Linked DNA regions of Nothobranchius furzeri. The protein of the gene in region 3 purifies or fractionates together with the protein of the main gene of each other region. This does not show direct contact. Links are inferred from orthologs where the notes say so. Each region holds a gene or a part of one and is shown on either strand. Other genes may lie near its edges.

What was found.
Region 1: the proteins of kat8 (region 3) and MSL complex subunit 3 purify together in Homo sapiens (affinity purification with mass spectrometry; 4 studies listed by BioGRID and IntAct, with this or other methods). This does not show direct contact. The link is inferred for Nothobranchius furzeri from reciprocal best matches to the Homo sapiens genes KAT8 and MSL3.
Region 2: the proteins of kat8 (region 3) and KAT8 regulatory NSL complex subunit 1 purify together in Homo sapiens (affinity purification with western blotting; 4 studies listed by BioGRID and IntAct, with this or other methods). This does not show direct contact. The link is inferred for Nothobranchius furzeri from reciprocal best matches to the Homo sapiens genes KAT8 and KANSL1.
Region 4: the proteins of kat8 (region 3) and phf20a purify together in Homo sapiens (affinity purification with mass spectrometry; 3 studies listed by BioGRID and IntAct, counting the BioPlex papers as one, with this or other methods). This does not show direct contact. The link is inferred for Nothobranchius furzeri from reciprocal best matches to the Homo sapiens genes KAT8 and PHF20.

What each region holds. Positions count from the first base shown.
Region 1 is NC_091754.1:51,286,867-51,291,298, reverse strand, and holds part of MSL complex subunit 3, read left to right. Parts: intron 1-436; coding exon 437-595; intron 596-664; coding exon 665-909; intron 910-976; coding exon 977-1,066; intron 1,067-4,338; coding exon 4,339-4,432. UniProt on the Homo sapiens protein: Non-catalytic component of the MSL histone acetyltransferase complex, a multiprotein complex that mediates the majority of histone H4 acetylation at 'Lys-16' (H4K16ac), an epigenetic mark that prevents chromatin compaction.
Region 2 is NC_091756.1:53,938,428-53,942,859, forward strand, and holds part of KAT8 regulatory NSL complex subunit 1, read right to left. Parts: intron 2,859-4,432; coding exon 2,778-2,858; intron 1,419-2,777; coding exon 1,309-1,418; intron 635-1,308; coding exon 493-634; intron 1-492. UniProt on the Homo sapiens protein: Non-catalytic component of the NSL histone acetyltransferase complex, a multiprotein complex that mediates histone H4 acetylation at 'Lys-5'- and 'Lys-8' (H4K5ac and H4K8ac) at transcription start sites and promotes transcription initiation.
Region 3 is NC_091745.1:17,463,386-17,467,239, forward strand, and holds the end of kat8 (histone acetyltransferase KAT8), read right to left. Parts: intron 2,724-3,854; coding exon 2,630-2,723; intron 2,162-2,629; coding exon 2,011-2,161; intron 1,652-2,010; coding exon 1,497-1,651; intron 931-1,496; coding exon 866-930; 3' UTR 754-865; downstream 1-753.
Region 4 is NC_091743.1:40,246,464-40,250,895, reverse strand, and holds part of phf20a (PHD finger protein 20), read right to left. Parts: intron 3,968-4,432; coding exon 3,799-3,967; intron 433-3,798; coding exon 348-432; intron 263-347; coding exon 186-262; intron 104-185; coding exon 1-103. UniProt on the Homo sapiens protein: Methyllysine-binding protein, component of the MOF histone acetyltransferase protein complex.

The sequences.
Region 1 (4,432 bases), on a different chromosome or scaffold from region 3:
GCAACTATCGTGACATTTGAAAACCCAAAAGCTAACTTTAAAGCAATTGTAGAAGTGGATCGATCACTTTGGTTTCTATAATTACAGTAAGGTATTTTATCCTTACTTGCTTTGGGTTCTGTTTTCCTATTGGCCAGCAGAGGGCGCACTTACTCCACTAATTCTTTGTTAGAAGTGTTTATATTACTTTAAATAAAAGGGGATGCTCTTAAGCATCACGTATGTATTTACTTTGGAAACAAATCTATTCAGAGTGCTAATGTGCTTGAAGAATAGGATTAGTACTTTTACCAGCTATTAAAAAGCTGAATCATTTGGTTAGAGTGCAATGTCATGTGACTAGAGACTAGAGAAAAAAAATGTACATATAACATTTTTAAATATCAAAATTACTCGCTGCGATGCCCTGAAAGTCCTGTTATTTGTCGTTTTTAAGCGAGGAGCTCTGTAAGGAAATGGTCGACGGCCTGAGGATCACGTTTGACTTCACCCTACCCATGATCCTCCTCTACCCATGTGAACAAGCTCAGTTCAAAAAAGTCAGCTCTTCCAAACTCTTCCTCAGCACGAACGAAGGCTCGCCCTCCTCCAGCAAGTAAGTGTGGCCTGACGAGTGCGCCGTCCATTTGCACTATCTGGGTTGTTTATTTTTTGCCTTTCAAAGCACCCAACGAGAACGCAGCCCGAGCCCACCAGTCCACAACCCCCCCACTCCTCAGTCCACAGACAGCCAGCCGGCTCTGAGCGACACGTCCGCCACCACGCCCACTGCTGCAGCTCCCACTCCGAAGCGCCGGCGCCACCCCGATATGGACTGCATCTCCTACCAGTCTCAGTCCCTCAGACGCTCCACGAGGAACACATCAGGAGGGGATCGGCCCGCTGAGGGAAGCAGCGGAGGTCATCAGAGTGAGTTTTGTGTTCAGTCCTTGTGCAGGGTTTATATCGCTTTTGTGACAGATTTCTTTAATGATAGGTGGAGGCAGCGCTACGGCCTCACCACAGCTCAAACGCCGTTTTGTCGACATCTCTTCGCAACCAAAGTTCTTCCTCAACCTGGACAGAAGTAGGTTTACTCTTTTTATAAAAGGAAACGTTACACCGTTTAGTTTTTGTCCTAGATTTATTTAGATTATGGTTGTTTCAGTGAGAAGAACTTCAGATTTGTTGCTGATAAAGCTACAGTAGCAAATCTGGAAAACAAGCTAACTTAAAAAAAATTCATGCTTTTTAACAATGTTCTAACATAGGATAGCTATAAATATATTCTTGAGATAAAACAGTGATTCTCTAGCATTTGTCTAAAACCCTCAGCCAATAACACGGCTAGATCTGAACCCAACGATTGGTTCATTCGGTCGTCTGTCTCATCGAACCACCGCACTTACTCACTTCCCCGGGTCCTCCACTCATTACGTGCTTGCACATTTAGCAACAGAACACCGCTGTTAGAGGTTCTTGGTTCAATAATGTCAAAGAAGAAGAAACAGCCGGCTGCTACCGCTTTAACTTTTGGACAAACTACCAGAGTCCCAAAAAGAAAAACCCCATTTGACGTCATGGACAACAACTTTTGGACCTAGAAAACAGCGACTGGTGTTTAGTGCTCTCACGTTTCCTCTGGCAGTGTGGGTTCGGGTGTCAGGGGGACGTGGCATAGGGATCATGGCTAATGGGCTAACTTGTTCTGTAGATTTGCTAAGTCTCGGATGGATGGGATGGATAACCTGTAGAGCTGGGTGCAGCGGGGAAAGTTGGTGCTTTTTATCTGGGAGAAAAGAATAAGGTGGAGGATGTATTTAGTGAAAAGAAGGAGCCCCAACAATGAGCCCTGAGGTACACCGGTGGAAACAGGAAACACAAATATGAATGCAAAAAGGTCTCGGTGTTTCGTGGTAGTACTAGTACTAGCATTCGTTAAGCTAAAGGGAATGAGTGGGTGACTTGCTTGGAGAACAGAAGTTACTGGCAGTTTTCAATAATGAAAGAACCGTACCAATAATGAAAGATGAATTGGTGACTGAGTAAATGGCAGGTTGTTGGTTTAGATCAATGATCCGCAACTGGCGGCCCTTGGGCCACGCCTGGCCCGCGAGCCTTCTCTTTGTGGCCCCCAAACCCCGCGCCCACCCCCACCCCCGACGGCCGACCGGGAGGTGTAGGATAGAGCTGAGGAAAATAATAAAATAATCGATGCATGAGATGCGGGCATAAAAAATTCCGCATCATAGAACATTACCATAATCAGTTATAGAGGAATGTGGTTTTGTTATTTTAACGGCGGCATCAGCGTAGCATCCACATCTGTCAGAGCGGTGTTCTCCACATTTATCAGGTAGGAAACTTTAGTCCGCCTTTATGTGGTACTGCAGGGCTGAGCGCTGGAGTTATAACCCGAACCGAATCAGCCCGATCGGTTCTGTTGGATTTGGGCCATAAATTATGTTAATTGAGCAGGTTGTCGCGCACTCCGCTCGCTCGATCAGCGAGAGCGAGAGAGAGAGAGAGAGAGAGAGAGACGTTCCTCCAAACACGCGTTATTTTCATAAGTTCATTATTGTTTCTCCTGGAAGCGCTCAGTCAGACCGAGTGCTGTGATGTGGGGAGGTCCGGTCTTGGGGGGGGGAGCGGAGTCAGTCGGGGGCCGTCTTGCTTCTGGGTCTTTTTTGTGAGTGGCCCTCAGACCATTATAATTGAGGACCCCTGGTTTAGATAATAAATCAAATGAGTGACATCATCAAGGCACGAGTGAGGTAGGGTTGGGGGTAACATGAGGTCAGACTTACAGGCTGCTTTTGCTGCCTGCAGTAGCTACTGCATGCCACTAGATGGTGTCATTTTACTTCCCCTTTCTTGAAGCACCCCTCAGGTATTCTAGTTAAGCAGCAATAAACAGCTGTAATGTCATGAAATGGCCTGATTTTGAGATCCCACAGGTCAGATCCACAGCCAGGTCAACGTACCCCTGGCTATGACACAACCTACAAGATTTTCCCCTCACAGGAGACTGGAAGTCTGCGCGTAGTCCCTTTAATCAGAGCCTGCCTTCCTCACACCAGCTGGACTGCAGCTCTGACAGATAATAAAAGATGAACAATAACATTCTCTCCTCCAAGGTCCTTCACAGAGAAACTCTTTCAAATGAACTCCTTTATTCCCAGAAGAAAGAAGATTTTATAATTAAAGATAATCATTAAATATTGCTATTTATAATTATATGCAATGAGATGTTCATTGATCTGTGTTTAATGATAAATGCTTAGCATGTTTACTGGGTGAGGTCATCACCATTTGCACACTCATACAAAGACAAAGTAAAGTGAAGTTAACACATGACACATAGTTAACCTTTTGCCCAGATTCAGAGTCTCTAGATCGAAGAGGGTGTGTTCTGAGATTCTTGGTAACATCTCCCAAACTCGTCAGCCCCTGATTGGCTGGCCAAATCCATAACATCAATCTATTAAAACCAGTCGCTCTGGTTTTTCCCTCAGTTCGAACAGTTCGAGAGTTCTAGAGCGAGCTTCAGACCGGCCATCTTTAGCACCTCTAACCAGTAAGGATTTTGACACATCGTCTAAATCTTTAAAACCTTTTTTGCACCTGCGAAGCCGAGAAGAACAAGATAGTACCTGCAGTACAAAGCAAACGCAAACTCCTTCAGAGTTATTTTTAAGACGCTCGGCTTCATCTGTCGTTGTGACCCGGAGACATCTCAGGACTGATTTGGTTGCATCGAGGTTTCTCTACGAACCACGTGCATTGGGGTCGTCGGCTCCTTGACATCTCGGATCCGAACGGGGGTCTCCAGAACGGGTGAGGTAGCACACAGCGAGATAGCGTCTGTATGTGGTTTTGATAATAACAACTTTATAGCTTATTTGCAAACAAAATTCTTTTATGTCCAGAACTCACTGAGAAACGGAGATTCTGACTCCATTACATTATATTCACACATAACTTCCAGACACCATCCTTAGTTCGCATCCACTCACAGTAAATAATAGTTTAACCATTTTGTCAAATCTTAATTGTTTGTAAAATAAATTCGTAATTTTTATAAACCTGACTGTTTCTTGAATCAAACGAAGTGTGTACGATCCCTTAATGAATAAAGAATCCTAGAATCTTCTGACTAAAACAAATAAAGACCAGGCAAGGTGATATTCTATATTTAAATAGAGTATTAGAGCTTATTGGTCACAAGTGGTGTTAATAATATAATTAGCTCTTAAAGTAATTTACTTACTCCCAACATACTATTTAATCTAACATTACACAGCCTTGTAAATATCGTTGAAATGTAATAAAATGTAGCTTTCACTTCTTTTCATCCAGAAACTCCCATCCACAGTGGCTCCTCTTCGCCGTTGCCTTCGACTCCAAGCAAAGAGACAAGTGGTCCTTTTTACGGTCTGGAAAGCCGCAGAAA
Region 2 (4,432 bases), on a different chromosome or scaffold from region 3:
ACAGTTTAGTTTGTAAACAAAGCAAGTTTTGGTTTTTGATACATTAAGATAAGATAATACTTGAACTTTATTTTGGAAGAGCTGCCCTGTGTGAAAGTGCTGACAGAGTGGAGGTTGTGAGTTCAAATTCCATTTAGGAAATTTAGTCAATTATTTCATTTATTCCAGGGGTCCTCAACTGAATTTGTTCAAGGTTTTTTTTTCAGCAGACACCAGAGAAGGTCAGATGCTCTTCTAAAATAAAGTTCAAACATCATTGTATCTTAATTTATTACAATTTAAAATGACCTTGTTTCCCATCTGGGCTGTTTGATTGTGGTTTTAGTTGTGTTTGGAGAATGTGGACAGTTGTAGATGTTTGGGACATGAAACTGTGGAGGCCCCCAATTGGGGGGCGTTAGGGTTAAACTGGTTAAAGATCTTTTCCACTCAAGTCCATTTCAAACATGCTCAATGACTCATGATGAATAGCCTGCTAGGAGCGGGGCTCACCTTTCCGTTGATGTTAGTCACCAAGTTGGGCTGAACAAGTCGCCGGCGTCGACAGTAGATCAGCGGCCGTGTGCGTGCAGCCACACACGTGCTGTCGTATGCCAGCGGCGTCTGCAGCTTCGCATCAGTGCTGTCGGCCACCCTGGAAAAAAATGTCAAGACCAAAATTCAGACGCATTTCTGTTTGAGATGGATGTCACCAACACATCCGACCCAGTTTTACAAATGTTGAGCTTAAATCTGTTGAGATGGTAGCAGAGTCCTGCGCAGCACACAAACTCCTGTAGCTCCGGGCAGACGACGGTAAAAAGGTCAAAATAAGTTACACTAGATAACCACACAGAAGTCATCATTTACAGAGTCTGTGTCTAGATCAGGAAGTAGTTTGCCCTGGTTGGGTCCAGCTGGTCCCACAGAGGTCCAGGTGAAAGAAGAATATGGTGCTGGTGCTCATCTTTGAGGCCTCATGACCAAAACTAAAACATCTACTCTCCCACTAAGCTATAAGTAAAAACAAGCTAGCCAGCAGGTTCCAATGAAGATTCATCGTGTTTTGATAAATATTTGATTTAAAAAGATGCTTCTGGGATTGTTCTAGTCTTTAATTTTGTCTCACATTTGTTGGTTTCAGTCACAACTAGTCTACATGTGGCCTGTGAGAACAGATCTTTGCCTTTTGTGTTGATGAAAAGAATCAGAGTCTAATCACTGAAGCTCTGCGTGACATCAGCATCTCAGAATTACAAATCCATGAGAGAGGAGTAGGATCTGGTGGTCCTTCTGGGAAAGTGACAGGAGGTAAATCATTAGCCGTACCTGCTGAGGACGCCGTTAACCGGCTGCCCATTGTGACCTTTCCACGGGCCCTGCTCGGTGCTGCTTAAAGGGGCGGTGCTCGAGTTCTCCAGCCGTTCTGCACCACCTTCCTGCTCCGACAGATAAGACAAAACCAGTGAGACTACACCTCATGTTAACTGCAAGGGGCTGACCCTGCAGCACTTAGCCAGGCCCGGGTATTCAAAGAAACAACAAATCCAATCATCCAGAGGTTGTAAATTATTCAGTCCAAGTTTTTTAAAAAGGACTCCGTCCTCCCAATGCTCAAAATGTGCTCAGCACCACCCAGAAGCAGAGTTTTAGCTTCATCACAAGCTCTCACTCACAAATGCAGTTCTGTGGCTTCAGTCCCATTTCTGTTCTACTAAACCTACTGCACATAGGTCCCATTCTTTTTCAGCAGCCTTTAGAGCAAAATGTCATTAACAAATGACATCAAATTCAACCAGGGTTAAGTAAAAACAAATTTAAACCATCACGAGGAGAATCCCCACAGTTCTGCTTTAACTCTCAGACAGAAGTGATTTATATCCACATGTTTGAGGTTATCACACAGCTCCAATTTTATCCAGATCATTCTGACCTGAGGCTCCTTTCATTTCCCCTTTGACTAACAGAACAAACCTTTTGAATGATGAGGCGAGTCAGGAACATTCAATCCACACCAAAACAAACATTTAACTAAGGCCCTGTCCACACGTAGCCGGGGATCTGCCAAAACGTAGATATTTTTCTACGTTTTGGCCTGTCATCCACACGAAAACGGAGTTTTTTCCACACGAAAACGAATCTTTTTAAAAACTCCGGCCAAAGTGAAGATCTGCGTTTTCTCCGTTTTGGGTGTCTGCGTGTGGACAGACAAAACCAGAGTTTTAAGGTCCGCAACGTCACTTTCCGCGACAAAAAAATGCTGACATCACGTGTGCGACCTGTGTTTACACTAGCCGACAGCATGGATGCCCTCAGAGCTGCGCTCGCTTTATCAATTGTCCAAGCGCTTTTTGCTTGTTTGTTTTTGCAAGCGGAATTACTGCTCCCTGCGGAAGACCACAGACGAAGGACGAGGTTAAGAACGGGGGAAGTACTGCCGCCTACAGGTCTGGCATGTCCTTAACAACGTATTTATCTGGGTACGTGTGGACAGAGTTTTTTTTAAACGAGGTGGTGTGGATGCAAGTTTTTGGAGGGGCGGATATTCGTTTTAAAAAAAAAACAGGCTACGTGTGGACTAGGCCTAAATATTAATTACCATGTTCATCTATCATTTCAGCTCAAAGATAAAACGCTGTGCTCTGAAATACAGAATGTGTGACTTCCTTCTCAGAAAGATGTCAGATTTGTAGCTGCTACAACATTCACCAGATGCAGACAAACTCACACAGAAACCCTGCAGCTTCCTGCCGAGATGCAACCAAGAATAGAAGAGAAAGACATGGCGCTCCACTCACCTGAGTATTTACACCCTCTGTCTTTTCCATCCCACCTGTGAGCGCAGCGCTGGGGGCAACACCACCCAACTCCACCGAACCCTGTAGAGGTATAGAAGTGTTACTGCTAAAAAGTACATTAGGAGAACGCCATCGCCATGGAGGGATGAATCCCTGAGACTTCATCCTCGTTATCAAAGTCTATGTTAAAGAAGTTAAATAAATCACATTTCCCTAAAAAAATCCACAATGTTAGCATACAGATACATTTGACAATAAGTCAATTTGGTTGTTTCCCCAGTTTAAGGGACATTTCCAACATTCTGAAGTGGTTTTCTGAGTAAAAGTTCTAAATAATTCTTCTGAACTGATGTAGATGAACAGCTAGCCCGAGCCAACAGCTAACCTGACTGGAGACCAGATTTAAGTGTGTTCCTGCCATGTTCAGCTCTAAACTCCCACATTTCCCAGATATTCAGATGTCATTTTTAAACATTTTCTAGAGTCTCATTACAATCATAACATCTAACAAATAAGCTAAATACAAATGAAACTCAAAAAATTAGAATACAGAGCAAAAGTTCGATAACTTCAGCAATTCAACTTAAAAGGTAAAAAAAAAAAGGAGTTTATGTTTATTTATTTAGCAGACGCTTTTATCCAAAGCGACTTAAAATTTATAACCTATAGGGCATGTTGTGATCTTTGGGGGAAACCGGAGTACCCGGAGGAAACCCACGCATGCATGGGGAGAACACGCAACTCCACGCAGAAAGACTGCAGCCGAGTTTCGAACCTACAACCTTCATGCTGCGAGGCAACAGTGCTAACCACTGCACCACCATGCAAAGCCAGCCATTTCAGCCTTTGTCTGTTATAATTGTGATGATTATGGCTTACAGCTGATGAAAACCCTACGTTCAGAATCCCAGACTATTAGAACATTGTGAAAAGGTTCAATAATCTAGACTCAAAGTTTATGTTTAAGTATTTAGCAGACACTTTTGTCCAAAGCGACTTACATGTGATAACGAAGCCAGCAGGTTGTCCTTGAGGCTAACGACAAACACTAATCAGTCAATCCTAGGTGGCAGTGAGGCAGCATAATCAATCATAAAGGGAAGTGAACAAGGAGTGTCACGTTCTGATCAGCTAATGAATCCAGAACACCCGCAAAGGTTTCCTGAGCCTATAGATGGTCTCCCAGTCCAAGTTGAATTTCTGAAATAGATTGACTTATGGACCATATTCTAATTTTCAAGTTTCATTTGAAGTTATTAATGAATTTATAACTCTGAGGTTGCTGCAGGGTGAACGACAGTCTCAGTAAACGTTTTTATAGATTTTGAGAAAAACTACAGGTCCTCTTAGTATTTTCTCTGAAAAAGAATACACCAGTCAGAGCCACATGAGGACAAATTATCAGCAAGAAATTAACTACTGGGAAAATAAATGTGTAGCATGAAATAAATGCTTATATTAGTTTAATGCACTTCCCAAAAACAATAATAATCATTAAACAGTTTCAAAGAACCTTGTCAAATAAAAAAATATTGTGAATCAGTATCAGTTTCATAGAGTAATGTATGATAGAAACTGAAGGTCTAGTCTTCTCTCTCATAGGGATCTCATCCCCACCCCCGTTCCCACCCCAAGACCTTCATAAATATTAGTAA
Region 3 (3,854 bases):
CCAAGTGTGTGACTACCGGGTACTCGAATTCACCTTTTATGACACATTTTAATTCTGAAATAAAATGTGTTTGTCATAAAAGGTTTAAAAAAAAGGTGCAAACAGGTGGAGGGTGCTATTAAAATAACACTGAACAAAACTAAGGCTTATTTAAAAGTCTTAACAAAAAGGTTAACATTAAAAGATTAGGGCACCTGGTTAAAACTGATTTAAAGTTTCACCATAACAAAAAGGTGTTTAAAAGCACGAAGCTGATAGTGTCTAAAAAACAAAGTTAACCTTAAAATACCAATTACAAAGACCATTAAGGTCATCAGTCAACTATGTTGACATATAAGAGGGAATAACCTCACAAGACCCATCTGGATCATCTGAATTTTTAGTTAAAATTCATCCAATACGACGCCTGGAGGACAGCAGGACCCCTGCACTGCTGCCTCCTAGACTGTTGATGGCACAACCTTCTATCCCAGGTGTGGGCCATTGGATGGATTCAGCTCATCAGCAGCCTAGAGAAGAGGAGGAGGAAGGGCGGAGTCTAGGCTGATCCCAGGAGGCTGGGTGATCCTGGCTCCTGGAGCTGAAGAGGCTGGTGGCCATAACATGAAGGCATTTCTCTCAAATTATAATTTTTATTTCCTGTATGCAGATGTAAACGAAACCCATCATTTATACTAAAAACACCGGAGTGAAATCCAATGACCAATTATAGATATGTAGAACCAACATTTAAGTCGAATAAAAACAGAAAAGTATTTTTTCATGTGTGTATATACAAGTTTATTATAAGAAAATATCGACACTACTAACAACTATATACAGTCTGTGTGAAAACAGGTAGGCTGGCATGTGGGATGCTTTCGTCTCACTTCTTCGACAACTTGACTTGTTTATTCTTGGGAGGCGCCCACTTCAAACACATGGTGTCCACTGTCAACAAAAAGAGACAAGCACCTTAAAAAGTCCCCAGGAAGTTCAAACAACAGGCTTCGCTAAGCCGAGTGTTTCCTACATATCCTCAGATGTAGGAATTACAACAGAACTACAGCCAAAGGGTAACTGTTCACCTGGAGATTAAATAAGAATTACGTACAGAAAATTAATAATTCTTAAAAGTTATAAAATACTTTAACTGATGAAAATAAAGCAAAAAAGACATTTGTTATGAATGTCCACTGATTGGTTAAACCTTGGGGACAAGAACTGGACATGAAAGATAAAAATACAAAACTCATGATCAGGTCCTTCTCTAGTTTCCTTCCAAGCAGCCAAACATTCCTGTGAGCCTTAAAGGGTCCAGATCATCGGCCCTCCAGACTTTCTGTAGCACTTCCAGAGTTTTTCTCTAGCTGCTTTCATCATTTATCAACATCTCTTGTGAATGATTGTTTTCAGAAGATTGCCCAGCAGAGACCTGTAACCTGAGCTGTGTGTCTCCCAGCATCACAGAGAACAGGAAGTGGCGTTTCCGCAGAGCGAAGGGGGGCTCCACCTACCTGTGATGGGTGGTTTCTTGTACTGGGCGCTCTTCAGGTGCTCCTCCACCAGTTTGGGCGTCACACAGATGACATGCTGGCCCTTCCAGTATTTCACCATGTTGAGAGACTGCAGAGTACTGATGATGTCACTCTGAGTGATGCTGGTCATCTGGCTGAAAAACAGGATCAGTGCTGGTGACATCAGCAGTGAGTTCTAGTGAGGATTTCATGAGAAGATTCAGCAGGTGATGAAGGATGCATCTCAGCCTGATTTGGTGCATCTTTAATATTTTTAAATATTTTTATTAACGTTTCAATCTAAGGATAAAACACGGACGACTATCTGACTCTTCAAAGCACATTTCATACTTCGTGACAAACTAGTTTTTAATTTTTTTTATTTACACATTTTAATGGTTGAAGTTGTTTGGTTATTAGTGAACTCTGATCGTTGACGCCCAGTTAGTGAATGAAAGCAGTCGTGATCCCCTACAGCAGACGACACTGTTTCTGCTGTTCTCTGCGTGCTCACCTGAGATCTTTGATGGACAGCGTTCCTCTGAAGTCCCTCAGGATCTCCAGCAGAACCCAGGACCAGTAACTTCTGTAGCTCAGCTTCCCCAGATCAGACAAAGGCTTCTCAGGAGAGCCGACGGTGTTCTCCAGCTTCGAGAGCTCATAACCTACACACAGCGGCAAAACACACAATACTGTTTACTCCACCAGTTATTTTCTCAATAATCCAGAGAAGAGTCCAATCATGAAATCTGTCATTTAGCCCAAGATAACTAAAATGTTTTATGAACATAAAAAAGAAAACATCTTTCCAAACGTTTAGGAAGAAATTGAGCTGATTAAATATGAAAACTCAGTTTGTCTCAACAAAATCACATTTCAGCTCTGATTTACGTTTATGTATGTGAGATGGAGCCAAGGCAGTACCCACTGGCACCAACAATGAACTATTGGAGGTAAGAACACCAGTCAGAGGTGATGGTGTAGCAAACCATCAAATAAGATCACAAATAAAGCAGATTCTGAATAAAGATTTAAGAAAACAGCCAAAGTTTCTAAAATATATAAATGGGTATGTTTAACTACCAGTAATATTTGTACTATAGTATATAACATGGCAGAGGCCTTCGACCTACTGAAAGCTATGAGGAACTTCCCGTAGCCTCTGCGCTGGTAAGGTGGAAGAGTGAGAATACAGGCCACGTTATTCCCATCTGGAGACTCTTTTTCCTGCAAAAGAAAAACTAAACGTTCATTTCTAGCTTCACCCTACAATTTATAATATTAGTCATTTTAAAACATACACTCAACAAAAATATAAACGCAACACCTTTGTTTCTGCTCCCATTTTTCATGAGATGGACTTAAATATCTAAAATTCATTCCAGATACACAATATCACCATTTCTCTCGAACATTGTTCACAAATCAGTCTAAATGTGTGATAGTGAGCACTTCTGCTTTGCCGAGATAATCCATCCCACCTCACAGGTGTGCCACATCAAGATGCTGATCTGACATCATGAGTAGTGCACAGGTGTACCTTATACTGCCCACAATAAAAGGCCACCCTGGAATGCACAGTTTTTTGCTTTGTTGGGGGTCTGGGGACTCAGAACCAGTCAGTATCTGGTGTGGCCACCATTTAGGGATGGGTACCTTTGACATTTGAATAGATTCAGTACTAATTCCCGGTACCTAGGAATCGATACCGGTACTTAACAGTACCAATTTTAGATACTTTTGAGTGTTTAATATTTTAATTCTCTTTTATAATTAAATATATATTTTTCTCAATTTATAACCATATTTGATAAATATCACAATAAATATCATTCAACTGTTTGTATTTTAACATCGTCCTTATAGTTTTATAAGCTGATAATTAAACTGAAGCAAACATCTTTACTGTGAACTAAATTTATTGTGTATCTTCATTCCTTTTGCCGTCCTTTTTCATTTGATTTTTCCTACTGGGAAGTTAGAATTTCCAAGGACAAAGCGAACGCACCATTAGCTGATAACAATGGTGGCAATGGAAGCTAACATATCAAGCTAACGTTATCTTAAACAGATTATTTAGCTGCTGGAGCAGATTTAAACGATGATGCCTCACACTTAGATCGTTGTCACTGGTTTCATCTTCACCCAATCACCCGCCGCATTTAGTAAAGTGAAGCCAAACTTTTGAGCGCGTTCATGTTCTTCTAGCCGGAGATTCGGAATTCCGAGGAGAAAGCGAACACACCATTAGCGGAACGGAAGCTAACATATCAAGGTAACGTTATCTTAAACATTTTATTTACCTACCGGAGCAGATTAAAATGAGGATGTCTCACTTAGATCGTTGTTGATGGTTTC
Region 4 (4,432 bases), on a different chromosome or scaffold from region 3:
TCTTGCTTTTGGGACCGCCGTTCTCATGTGGACGTCTGTCTCGGCGGGTCGGAGCCGTCCTCTTCACCACGTTCTGGTCGGAGGACCGAGACCGTCCACGTCTCTATGGGCAGCATAGTTATGAACAGAGTGAGCAGAATCGGCCGAGACGAGGACCACAGACGGAAACGCCGACTTTCACGTACCTCTTTGATGAAAGGCTTCACGTGCATTCCCTTCACTGTCTGGATGACTCCGTCGTAGAACTTTACAGTGTAGGACGCTACAGCGGACACCAAAGAAGACACCAGCTAAAGCTTTCCTTTGTGAGATTCATGAAACCATTAAATATTTAACACGATACCCACCATCTTTATTGACTGAAATGACTTTAGCGGGGTAGAAACGGCAGTCGGACCAGCTGGCCAGAACCTTGTCATTTACGTGAAAGCCCTGGAGGAAACAGCGTGACTTTAGTGCATCATGGGAACGACCCGCCAGCGTTTCAGGGGCGAGGAGTCCATAACGGGGATGCACCACGGATCAGCATCAACCTCCTCGCTCTGATAAGCCAAACTGATGGTAAATGGCCTGTATTTGTACAGCGCCTTCTTAGGGTTCTACACCCCCCCCCCAACACGATCAGTCATTCACCCATTCACACACACTTCCACACGCTGGTGGGGATGAGCTACGAGGTAGCAACAGCTGCCCTGGGGCGCACTGACAGAGGCGAGGCTGCCGAGCACAGACGCCACCGGTCCCTCCGAACACCATCAGTAGGCAAGGTGGGTTAAGTGTCTTGCCCAAGGACACAACAGCAGCACTCTCTGGTCGGAGCCAGGATCTAACCTGCAAACTTCCGATTACCGGACAACCTGCTCTACCTGTTTGTGAGGGCTTTTTGGGGGGGTGGGGTGGGGTGGGGGGGGGCTGAACAATTAATTGCATATGCAATTCAACTGCAATGTAACAAAAGGAGATTTTCTAATCGCAAAGACTGCGATTTGGCTGGCAGCAAGTGGTTAGCAAAATGCTAATACACCAGGAAAACACCTTAGGGATACTAATGCTAATATTGCCTAATACATTCTTACAAATTATGAATTAGAAACGTGCCAAATGATTAGATTTGGAGTCTAATAAAAAGTAAAAACAGCCATTAATCAAATAAGTACAGACAGATATTTTAGTAAAGCTAGGAAACGTAAGAGGCTAACTCCACTGAGGTTTGGCTAGCAGCTATGGACGAAACTGAACTACGGAAGCTCAGTGTGGACAAGACATCAAAAACTCTAAACACAAAAGACTTAAACGGGACACTATGCTGCTTCAAGGGATGTGCTCCTGGCTGCAAAGCATCGCACCTTCAAATACAAAATGTGGTCTTTACTGGCGAGTGTTTATGTTTATGTAGACGAATAAACGTGTTGATATGATCTGTAGATAAATAAGTAGATACATAAACTTGTTTATATTCAGTACAAGTTACAGTTGTGGTCAGAAGTTTACATACACTTGTAAAAAATATAATATAATGGCTCTACTGAGTGTCCCGTTATTTCTAAAACTCTGATTTTTCTCTGATAGGGTGATTGGAACAGATACTTCTTTGTCACAAAAAACATTCATGAAGTTTGGTTCTTTAATGTCTTTATTATGGGTTAACAGAGAAAAGTGATCACATTTGCTGGGTCACAAATATACATACAGCAACATGAACTAGCAATTTTGGTGGCTTAGAAACGTGTCAGTGAACTGAGCTTCATAGCATGGCCTCTTAACTTCTTGTGAGTGATTATGAGTGACTACAGCGGGTGACTTCTCTTAGGCCAGGTAAATAGGGCTCATTGGATACAAACGCCCACAAACACTACAATGGGAAAGTCAAAGGAGCTCAGCATGGATCTGAAAAAGCGAATTATTGACTTGAACAAGTCAGGAAAGTCACTTGGGGCCATTTCAAAGCAGCTGCAGGTCCCAAGAGCAACAGTGCAAACAATTGTTTGTAAGTATAAGGTGCATGGCACTGTTTCATCACTGCCAAGATCAGGAAGAAAACGCAAGCTATCACCTGCTGCTGAGAGAAAATTGGTCAGGAGGGTAAAGAGTGAACCAAGAATCACCAAAAAGCAGATCTGCCAAGAATTAGAAGCTGCTGGAACACAGGTGTCATTGTCCACAGTCAAACGTGTTTTGCATCTCCATGGACTGAGAGGCTGCCGTGCAAGAAGGAAGCCTTTGCTCCAAAAGTGGCACCTTAAGGCTCGACTGAAGTTTGCTGCTGATCACATGGACAAAGATAAGACCTTCTGGAGGAAAGTTCTGTGGTCAGACGAAACGAAAATCGAGCTTTTTGGCCACAGTGCCCAGCAATATGTTTGGAGGAGAAAAGGTGAGGCCTTTAACCCCAAGAACACCATGCCTACAGTCAAGCATGGTGGTGGGAATATTATGCTGTGGGGCTGTTTTGCTGCCAATGGAACTGGTGCTTTACAGAGAGTAAATGGGATAATGAAGAAGGAGGATTACCTTCACATTCTTCAACATAACCTAAAATCATCAGTACGAAGGTTGGGTCTTGGGCGCAGTTGGGTGTTCCAACAGGACAATGACCCCAAACACACATCAAAAGTGGTAAAGGAATGGCTAAATCAGGCTAGAATAAGGGTTTTAGAATGGCCTTCCCAAAGTCCTGACTTAAACCCCATTGAAAACATGTGGACAGTGCTGAAGAAACAAGTCCATGTCAGAAAGCCATCAAATTTAACTGAACTTCACCAATTCTGTCAAGAGGAGTGGTCAAAGATTCAACCAGAAGCTTGTGGATGGCTACCAAAAGCGCCTAATTGAAGTGAAAATGGCTAAGGGACATGTAACCAAATATTAGCACTGCTGCATGTATATTTGTGTCCCAGCAAATGTGATCACTTTTCTCTGTTAACCCATAATAAAGACATTAAAGAACCAAACTTCATGAATGTTTTTTTGTGACAAAGAAGTATCTGTTCCAGTCACTCTATCAGAGAAAAATCAGAGTTTTAGAAATAACGGGACACTCAGTAGAGCCATTATATTATATTTTTTACAAGTGTATGTAAACTTCTGACCACAACTGTACATAGATTATTTTTGCTTCTGTTAGTTGAAAAATGAGAAAAGCCCCTTGAGAAAATATTCGTGAATTAAATCTCAATTGCAATATTGAAGAAAATAATAATAATCGCAATCGTTCAGCCCTAAATGTGGGGGTGTTTAACAGAAGCAGGTGGTGTAAGCATGTCTATGTGATAAATATTTGTTATCGGTAGGGATGGACAATATATCGGCATCAATCTCGGTATCAGCCGATGTTAGTCATTTTTAACTTATCAGCATTGGTTCGATAAATAAAACCGGGCCGATATTAACCGGTAGTTTTTCCATCTTGTCTCCATTTGTTTGCCTGTTTCAGAGGGTGAGGTGGGTGATGTGTGATTGTTTAGTCACGTGACCGTGATCGTAATCATCTCAGAACTATAAATGTGTGTGGTGTGTGTACATATTAATGTAAATTCAGCTTTAATAATTTTCATTCTATACAAAATCTGATGATTTTAGAAGCATTAATGCCAGTATATCGGTAATCGGCAAATATTGGTTATCGGCCACAACAGTGATCTTAATACCGGAGTCGGCCCAAAACTTTCATATGGGTGCATCACTAGTTATTGGCTGTGACAGCAGGTAGGTGTGGGAACCATGCTAAGTGGACTGCAGAACCAAACACCTTGCTTCCTGTGCAGCACAGGCAAAAGCGTGATGGAGATGTGAGCTTACAGGTGAAGAGTCGCCGTTCAGGCCCTGCCTCCTCAGCTGGATCCTCTCTACGGGTCTCAGGTAGGGACTGGTCCAGTCAAACCACTCATCATAGCGATGGCTCCACTGGCGATAATGGATCAGTACTTTCTCATCGTCGTAGTCAATCTTCTCTATGTTAGCAGCGTACCTGGAAGAGGAAATGACATCATGGATGGTTGGGAAGGGAGCAGGAACTCTAGACCATCATCCTTTATGTACAACATGAAACGCAAATCTTCAGAAACAACACCCAGAAGCCGATTTGTTTCGTTGACATCTTTACTCGTTTATGAAGACGGACGAGACAGAAAATAAGAGCAGTAGTAAGCAGCACCGTAGAGCTACGTGTGACAACTGCACCAGTGTTCCCACAGCTCAGACTGATGGTGGATGGCAGCAGAACCAGGATGCACTTAATTCGCTGGTTAATTCAGATTTAAATGAGTTCACTTGTAAATACCTAACAGGAATAAAGATGTGGAGCTACAGGTTCTGGTCCAAATGGCCCAGCCCTAAATGAGACGATAATAACCTTATATGATAAAAAAGGAGCCAAAGAGCTTTAGAGAGAATCCATTATTCATTCACTCTGATGGTGGTGAGCTACATCTAT